2 linked regions of the Arabidopsis thaliana genome follow. The protein of the gene in region 2 interacts with the protein of the main gene of each other region in a pairwise test. Each region holds a gene or a part of one and is shown on either strand. Other genes may lie near its edges.

Evidence for each region.
Region 1: the proteins of AT1G03250 (region 2) and AT3G01410 interact in a two-hybrid assay, tested with the Arabidopsis thaliana proteins (one large-scale study listed by BioGRID).

What each region holds. Positions count from the first base shown.
Region 1 is NC_003074.8:152,759-157,781, forward strand, and holds AT3G01410 (Polynucleotidyl transferase, ribonuclease H-like superfamily protein), read right to left. Parts: upstream 2,900-5,023; 5' UTR 2,682-2,899; coding exon 2,571-2,681; intron 2,480-2,570; coding exon 2,321-2,479; intron 2,143-2,320; coding exon 2,077-2,142; intron 1,944-2,076; coding exon 1,824-1,943; intron 1,736-1,823; coding exon 1,499-1,735; intron 1,402-1,498; coding exon 1,294-1,401; intron 1,105-1,293; coding exon 1,053-1,104; intron 924-1,052; coding exon 892-923; 3' UTR 585-891; downstream 1-584. Other genes in the region: AT3G01400 (ARM repeat superfamily protein), read left to right, coding at 1-229; AT3G01415 (tubulin-tyrosine ligase), read right to left, coding at 3,538-3,958, 4,044-4,174.
Region 2 is NC_003070.9:792,798-797,475, forward strand, and holds AT1G03250 (R3H domain protein), read right to left. Parts: upstream 2,580-4,678; 5' UTR 2,363-2,579; coding exon 2,305-2,362; intron 2,273-2,304; exon of another isoform or gene 2,173-2,272; coding exon 2,102-2,172; intron 1,854-2,101; coding exon 1,745-1,853; intron 1,614-1,744; coding exon 1,531-1,613; intron 1,402-1,530; coding exon 1,225-1,401; intron 1,134-1,224; coding exon 1,032-1,133; coding exon of another isoform or gene 1,026-1,031; exon of another isoform or gene 935-1,025; coding exon 779-934; 3' UTR 562-778; downstream 1-561. Other genes in the region: AT1G03240 (uncharacterized protein), read right to left, coding at 1-41; AT1G03260 (SNARE associated Golgi protein family), read right to left, coding at 2,881-3,059, 3,191-3,221, 3,739-3,831, 3,979-4,095, 4,244-4,330, 4,516-4,614.

The sequences.
Region 1 (5,023 bases), on a different chromosome or scaffold from region 2:
GGGAACACAGAGACAGAAAGAGATGGCTGTGTCGATATTGCTACAGCTTTGTGAGGAGAGTGTTGTGTATAGAACAATGGTGGCTAGAGAAGGAGCGATACCTCCGCTAGTGGCTCTGTCGCAGGCAGGAACAAGTCGAGCTAAGCAAAAGGCTGAGGCGTTGATTGAGCTTCTAAGGCAACCAAGATCCATTAGTAATGGTGGTGCTAGATCATCGTCCCAACTCTGATGTGAGCTTTTCTTATTTATCTTTTTTTACCACACTCTTTCTTCGTCTTTTACTGTTAATGCGAGGGTGTATACAAACAACCAGAAAAAAAAGGGGGGAAAAGGAAACTGTAAATAGTTTGTGTAGAAAATTAGTGGGCTTGTTGTAATTTATCTTGAGTTTGGCTTTTCTTTTCTTTTTGTGATCCATTTCATAAATTTCGGTTTGGTTTTAACAGATTTCTCATTACCAATTTTCCCTCCCATTTTATGAGTAGGGTTTTGAATAACATAAGGGAGACATTCATAATTGAAATTATCGAACTAGAATGCAAGAAAAGTGTTAAAAAGGGAGAGAAACATAGACATGTTCTTGCGAATTTTTAACTTAGAGAACAAGTGACTGAAGTTTTAACAGACTGGGGACAGAGCAAAAGAGAAGTCAGAACATGTTCTACCATGTTCATGTTTATGGTCAACACATAGCATATTCTTAGAAATAGTAATAAACGTATTCTCAGAAATTTTAACTTAGAGAACAAGTGACTGGAAATCTCAACAGTCATGGGGACAGAATAAAAGAGAGAAGAGAACATCGTCATGTTCATGTTTATGCCAAGACACAGCATGTTAAAGACACGATCCCGGAAACACAAAAACAGGAATACACTAAACTAATCTCTTCTAGCCGCCTGAAATCACTTGCGTTTGACCATCTGGATACACATTGACAAAAAAAAAAAAATTGATTGAAGCCTGGTTAGCGATGCGTATGGATTTCTTTCAAGATCCATACACAAAAATCAAACCCATATGTTTTTTTTCAAGAACTTCATCTAACTCACCTGCCAGAAAAATCGCACTGTTAGCTTGTTTATCAGCTTCTGAATTTTTTTCCTGCAAACCGGACAGCTTACAATTAGTGGTCATCTTCATATCAAATGAACTCAAAGATACTTGGTCCTAATTCGCACTAAAACTCTCAAAACCAAACATGATTGGATATCTAATGATTGTTGCGCAGACGGACTACAGAGTTGATCACAAGCAAATCAGCAGCTAGACCAAGCGGGTTTGGTGGCTTACCCTGGCAATGTGTTTGATATCGAATGTTTTAAAACTGTTCATGAGCTCCTTAGCCTGTTTGCACAGCTCAGCCATTTTTGGGTGATTGGTTTTCCATGCACCTTGAACCTGTTCCATTGTCGAATCCAAGTTATCAAAACAATTAAGGCACAAACATGAATAATTCAAACAAGACAAAAGATAAGAGTGAATTTTATATCTGGACCTGCATACAGACAAGCATTGAGTCGCCTAAGACGTGCACATTTTTAAACCCTTTGTCAAGAGCAGACCTCAAACCAAGAAGCAGAGCTCGATACTCTGCAACATTGTTTGTGGCATTGCCAACACCTTCCCGTAAATAGAAGAGGACACTATTATCTGAAGCACGGAGAACAGCTCCTGCACCAGCCTTCCCTGGGTTTCCTTTAGAAGCACCATCAAACTCAATGGTACATGAATCCTGAGGGCGAATGATAGATAAAGGAATTATAAAGATGCAGAAGAAGAAAACAAGCATCTGACTGAATAATTTTGTTGGATGTTATTACATTTTGACGTATAGGTGTCCGAGTTAGGAGACTGGAAGGAATCCGACGAAGCATGTCATTTTCGATCTTAAGCTGCTTCTGCGGAGGACTAGGGGAAAATGAACCCGATTCACCACTTCCCTGAAGATCAGAGGCACAAGAATTTTCATCATTATCTTCAAGAGATTGCAAAACATACAGTTACTAATACATAGCACCAGCAGCAAAGGCAATGAATTATGTCTCTATAACAGAAAAGATTTACAGTTGTTACCATATCTTGCAATCTCTTAGACGGGGAAGATTTGTTGAGAGACTCTCCTTGGGAAGAAGACGGTTGCTGAAATGAAAAATCAAAAGTCAGAACAGAATTTTGAACGTCAACTAAAATAATGTCACAGATTAGACAAGCAACTGAGTAGATGTTCCTGTAAAATATGATATCTGCACTAAGATCACTCTCTATTATTCAGTCGCTCATACAAGAATGTTAGTTAGATCAAGATTGTGTGTCAAACCTGAACAGGACAAGGAATGAGTTTCCCAAAAGCATCATCTTTGACATGACTTGCATTGACAGAAAAAAGAGCGTTCTTAATCCCAAACGAAGATAACAAGTCCTCTGCTCCTTTTGGCCAACCATATCCTTTGTACACACTCATTGCAGGATGTGATACCTGAAACCAAAACAAAACATATGTAAGCCCTAATAATGCAGACATCAACTTCAACAGTGAATAAGATAAAAGGAATAAACAGAGAAATTACAGATGAACCAGCTTGCCCTTGGCATTCGCTCAAGCTTCGATAGACACCAATAATGTCTCCCTTACGCACAATGTAAAACGCATCTTTTTCATCCTCCATTGTGGAACCCATCAACCCTAAAATCCCCCAAATCTTCAGGAATCAACAAAACCCCGAGTTATCAAAATCACAGAACCCTAAAACCTAAGCCAAACGAACAAATACCAAACTAAAACAAGTCCCCAGAAAGCAATTCAACAGAGATCCAGAATCCGAACAGGCAACACGCATCGAGCGAGAGAGAGACGATTTGGTTTTCGAATTTCAAACTTAGTGCTCTTGCGATGCAACAACGGACCACGAGAAAAAATATGTAGATGGGCTTCCGTGTGAAAAAGCCCAATAGAATATTACGGTTTCAACACGAACGAAACTACTTGCCGTTCCATTTCACACAAATAAAACTACTTGCCGTTTAGTGGAAATTACATTAATATATTCACAAGTTATACTCCACTTACACAAAATTCATGAGTAACCTAGAATTTCCAATTATATTTTAGCAGCCTGAATATTGATCTCTCTATATATATATTAAGAATTATTAGTTATGGATTATTAGTTAAGTATTTACTCCTAAGTTAAGCTCTATACTTGAGTTGTAGTCAATATATAAGGCAGATAGATTTGTAACTTAAACCCCAAGAACACGATTTATACGAATCAAGTTTTCTTGACATTAATAATGAAACAAGTACTTAAGTACTGTAGTAGGAAAATAAAAAACCACATATAGCTATTTTATAACAAGGTCTTAAACTCTTAATAATTCTCCTTAACAACTGAGCCCTTCACAGTATGAAAGATTTGTTTGTTATTCACGAAGGAAAACAGTGTTCTTGGTGTTTACAGTTTGTAAAAATATTGGAAGCCATCTTAATTATTATAGATATATGTCACTCATATCATGTTGGGAATCATGCCTGATCTAGTTGTCATCCAAAGGATCAACCAACATGTAGATGATAAATAAGGTTATAGGAAAACATAAAAGGGTTCCAATAAAGTAGGACCATGAGGATGTGCCTAACCAACCGAGGATTGCAAACAGAGCTCCTAAGTAAGTGGTGGACAGAGTATGTGTAACTGTAAAATCTTTTATTGGACAAGAGAGTTGCACGATCGAAATCCCCGCTAGTATAAGACACACGCCAATTATGGACCCCTCTACTCTGCTCATTACGCCTTGGACATTATACGAGATGCAATACATAAGTATCATCACGGCCAAGAAGAAGAATGCCCGCCCCTCCGGTCCTAGTTGATATCTTGGGACTAGAACATCTTTGCACAAGCACCAAATTACCATACCAATGTATGGAATATTCGCAGCCCTCAGAGTTGTGTATCTGGCCATGATGAGACATAATACAATTAAAAATCATCCAAATAACTACTTCAAATCAAATCTATATACAACAAGAATTTCCTTACACGTATACGGGCATATAGCTAGGGGGTTCAATGTCTAAGAGGATTTGTAATGATACTCTCAAGGCAATGAAATAGTATAATCCACGACTATAAAGACAAATCACTTCTTTGACTCTCTTTTCACCTTTCATTTTTTTTGTGATTAGTTAATTAAGACGAGGAGCACAATACTACAAAGAAGACTCAAACTATAAATGTTATATGTCTAGAATGTATATTGGTTTTATTTTATACTAAATCAAAGGTGATAAAGAGAGATTTGATCAAATCTGTATCCAATCAAAATTTGATAAATTTTTACCAATTTAACACATTTTCTAACTTAAACTCTATAAATCTATACATAATTAAGTATATAATTACTATCCAACTCACTATTTAACAAAATTGATAAAATATAAAGGAATGATTAATATCAAATACATACATATATAGACATTTTTTATTAATAAAAACCATTAAAACCTTGACACATCAGTATTTATCTTCTTTTATACAAAATTTAATCTGTATCCAATCAAAATGTGATAATTTGTTTTTACCAATTTAACACATTTTTTGTAACTTAAACTCTATAAATATTCATAATTATTTAATTACTATCCAACTCACTATTTAACAAAATGGATAAAATAAAATTAATGATTTTACATCAAATACATACCTATATAGACATTATTATAAATAAAAAACCTATTAAAACCATGAAAAATCAATATTTATCTTATTTTATTCAAAATGTAATCTGTATCCCATCAAAATTTGATAATTGTTTACCAATTTAACACGTTTTCTAACTTAAACTCTATAAATATATATAATTATTTACTTACTATCAAACTCACTATTTAACAAAATTGATAAAATAAAATTTAATTTAATATCAAAAATACATATATAGACACTGTTAAACCCCATTAAAACCTTAACACATCATATATTAAGTCGTTTCTACTTTCTAATGATTTAAAATAAATCTG
Region 2 (4,678 bases):
TCTTGACGATAGCCTTTGCTTTTTTTGCTTCTGATCGTCATCCCCAAAAAACAAAAATCGACCGTATCTTTTGTTTCATGAATCAAACACTGTAAAATTCACGACTAATATAGGTAGTGCTATCGAATGAATCTCTGAACGTTTTTCTATATGAGAAAAGGAAGAGAGAAAACAAAGAAAGTTTTTCTGATATCAGAAAAGAGAGAGAGAGAAGTCGCTATCGAATGGATCTCTGATGCTGGAGTTATACTTATAAACAATTTTATGTACGTTGAATCAGAAACCCAACATAAAACCTAGAGAAAAAGGAAAACTTGGCTGTGAGAGAGTCGAAATTACCTAAATACCCCATTGCAGAAAAGGAAAACTCGGCCGAGAGAGCCGAAATTACATAAATATCCCCATCGAAAAAAGGAAACACTATTTTTGACCGTTGGAAATTTCGTTAACGTAATAACGCCTAGTGGCTGAGCTGGAACTCCAACTGTTGGGCTTTGTAACTCAAAGGCCTCGACAAGTTAATAACAAAAATATAACTTTAAAGATTCAAAATTCACAATCAGCACTCAATAAAATTTATTGTCTATCTCGTTCTTTAATCATAAAACCGTATAAATTGAGGATACAAATACAAGCTTACAAGAGGCCACATAGGGGGAAGTAGCAAAGGCCAAAGAGAGAGAGAGAGAGTCTTGAGATCTTTTTGCTGCATAAATAGCCCTTTAAATTGGCGCTGATATTCATAAAAAACCACAGCTACAAAGGAGTGTATGTGTTGTTACCAAGCTCCTTCCTTTGACATCCTAAGGAAATGCGCTAGGCTGATGCTTGGTTTCTCCCCTGAATCGCCACTCTTCTTCCATTTGATGCTCGTTGTCTTCATTGCTATCCTTCCTATCTGTTCTGTTGCAGTTGTTGATACCAAATTGTGATACTGCTCCAAAGAAAACAGTTTCTTTTAGGTTGTTACTCTCTATATCTTCATTCAACATCTTAGCAGAAAATAGCGCAAGTGATGTCGTGGCTCATACCTCACAAACACCGTGTAAAAGCAATCTATGGAATGGGTCTTGAACCTTGAGCTCAAGAACATCTCCTTCACCACCTTCCTCGATGAAGTGACTTATACAGCTCTGTGGAAATAATAAACGATTCTGAATTCTAGAAGCAAAGGGTCTATATTTACATGTATGACTTACATTGTCATATCTGAAGAATCTATACCTCATATCCCTCGATTAGTTCTGGTAAAAAGCTACGTCGAAGAGCATCTCTTGTCCTACAATCTATTCTTCTCCAAGCATTTAAGACAGCGATTTTATCACCGTCCACGCTACCTTTCTGCCTTACGGATGACCTATTCAAGGAATCCATGATGTTGGCCTGAAAAAAACACAATTCCTAACAATAGTTAAGACCAAGTATGTCAAACAAATGACATCACTGATTCTACAAACAAATTATATTCAGAGAAATATAGTAACGTGCACTTCTTCTCTGAGAAACAGTCCCAAAAGACATGTAAGTTACCTCCTTGTCCATGTCTATGTTTCTAAATTTGTCCCATTCTCCAACATTAGTCAAAGAAAATGCTGAGGGTGGGACATCATCACCTGTAGAACATTTGTGGACTCAGTGAAACGATGTTATATGTTAACAATAGCAAAAAGACGAAAACATGGCAAAAAAACTCAATTTGAGATTATACAAGAAGAGTAAAACTTTGAATGGAATGTCATATTACCCCACGGTGGTGGAGCAAACAAGCCTCTGATTTCTTGGGCATCCAAACGAGGAACAAGTTCCATCAGAATACGATCATTTAACCATCTCCGAGATCGCCTGTTACTAACCTGCATTAGCAAAAAAAAACTCATTAGCTACAAGTATATCAACCTCAATTATTCATCTCAAGTAAAATCAATCTCATTGTCTTAAATAAGCAACCTTTAGATGAAGAAATACAGGAAAATCACATCTCAAGTATTAATCAGAAAAAAACTGACTAACAGAATCACAATTTTGGCTGTCCGATACGATAGACAACATTTCCCAGAAAATGTAATGAAGAAAATCAAACAAGAGTGAAAAAGGCACTCACTTGTCCGGCCAGGCTCTCAAGGGCCTCAATTTTCTTCTCAAGCGAGAGGCCACGAGAAACACTTGTATCTCCTGCAAGTGAAACCCTAAGAAATTCATTCCCAGGAAACGAAAAAAAAAAGAATTTCTGTTATCAGAAACCCTAATTCCCCTGTACATAAATTTCTCTAAACACGGGCCTATCAAAAATGAACTTCGAATTACCTCTTTGGGGATCAATAAGAAGGCTCTCGTCTCGCCGCATGACATTGGTAGCCGCCATGATTGAACAATTAAATGTGAGGAAATCCGCTGATTTGAACAGAAAACCGAGCCAACGAGACTCTTCTCTTTCAAAGGAAGTCTCTTTCTTTCGCTAATGGATTCGAATTGTAATTGGGGTTACAGACACCACGAAAATGATCGGAGACGAAGGAAGGCAACAATTTTGGGATTCGGAGTTTAGAAAAAAAATGGCAGACGCACACGTATGAAGGCCAAGGAATATGCCCGAATATTGATATTTTCTAACCCGACCTGACTCGACCGATTCAACCGGTCTGATAAGGACTCGAGTCAAATTAATTTCCGGTTAATTATTGTAGCCACCGGTTGGGCATTCTTACAAGTTACAAGATTTCAAAACCTCAAGTATATACCAAAATAATCAACTAAAGAACAAACGAATTAAACTGTGAAGTATGGTATTATGATGCTATACAAAACGTTTCTAATAACTCACTCGGTAAGAAAATTTCGCGAAATTTACAAACTCAAGAGGTTTCTTCTTGTCTATATTATTCAAGTATTGGATGGGTCGATTCTGATAACGAGAGGCTCTTGTAGATCCGGTGGTGGCTCTGCGATCGGGAGTACGGAAGCGTCGTCATTCTTCTTCCCATCTAATTCAGTACCATTCTCAGCCAATGCTTTGTCCAAGGATGATTTCGCCACTCTTGTTATGCATATTATCAGAATTACTGCACCCACATCATTCAAAAACCCAAAAAAAGACGGGTTAAAACACAGACCACATGGTGTCATTCCACTTCTCACAATGTAGTGAAGCTAGCTAGATATATATTTGGACATGACTGCAGAAGAGACTTACCAGCTAGAGCTACGCCAACCATCATAATTACCTGCATCCACAAATGACAATGCAGAAGAAACGAGAAATCAGACTTACAATGCAAGGGCACTCAGATACTTCAATCAAAGCTACAAAATACCAACTAAATAAATGCAGATGCGAGACTATCACAATGTTCTTCCCTACACATAGGATGCTTTGGACTTGGTTATAAATCCTCATCCTCAGGATTTTTAAGCTACATTCTCAATATTTCAGATCCCAGAAATGTCTATCATATTATGGAAAATAAGCAACTCTACATTATATTGAGGGATATACACCAAGATGTTTCCAATAAACCTCATAAAATAAGGCATACTTCAAACTTCATTTCAGACAAGTTGTTATTTTTCTAATACTACAAACTTCTAAACCTAGTAATCTCAGTATAAATGATAAGTGATAAGTAATTATGCATTACAGCAGAAACACAAAACTATCTTCATTCTTCTGACTTCATTCAAGCTCATCTACAATCATTTCCAATCTACTAGTCAAGTGGAAGTAAATGAGCGAAAACTTACCCAACGAAATACTGACACCTCATGCCATCCATGTGTAATATCAGAAAGATCTTTCAGAGTAGTTCCAACATATACTAGCGCAAATGTAATGGGCTGCTACATCAAAACAATTCAGAAGATTAGAATTACTATTATGTATAATGTTAGCAATCAGCACTTTAACATGCATGCTAACTTCTTCCACCATTATTAAAGTATAAATGGCCAATATACAAGCGGATTTTAAAGAAATGTCAGTACCATCATTCCCAACCAAGTGGCCAGCATGTATTCCCCTAAGCGAACAGGAGTTACAGATAGGAGGTAATTCAACATATTGAAGGGCAGTATGGGGACAACGCGTAGCAGCAAGACTATCTGCACAGGAAGAAAATATCATCATTTAGTTAGTAGTCAATCAATTAAATGTAGCCAGGAAATTGAGGTACTTTGCCATACGCATAGTAGATCTCTGAAGGAAAACAAACTGTCAATTATTATAGAGAGTGTTACTAGATTTTCATGCCTTGAAGCCAGATTTTTGAATTGCAACGGAAACAGCTTGAAACTTTGGGTAATGCTTTATTTTTGAAGTGACATAAGATTTACCAATCTGCATGATACCAGAAAGACAAAAGATATATCATTAGCAACAATGAGACAGCCAAGATGCAACACTTAGATAAAATGCCTAGATGTGAGGACGCACAAAACAGGAATCAGTACTTCTGTGGTTATGGCAAGCAACACAATTGCAAGCGAAATATATTAAAACAGATGGAACCATAAGAGACATACCGTTCTACCAAGCAGAAATGCCGCTGTTGCACCTAATGTAGCTCCAAGAGAGTCGGCTACAAATCCTACTGGCAGGCCAAAAAGGTAACCACCACCTAGCTGCAGAGAGAAACAATCAAGACTATCAGAACCGGATTAAAAGTCTAAGTATCCTATCTTGTAA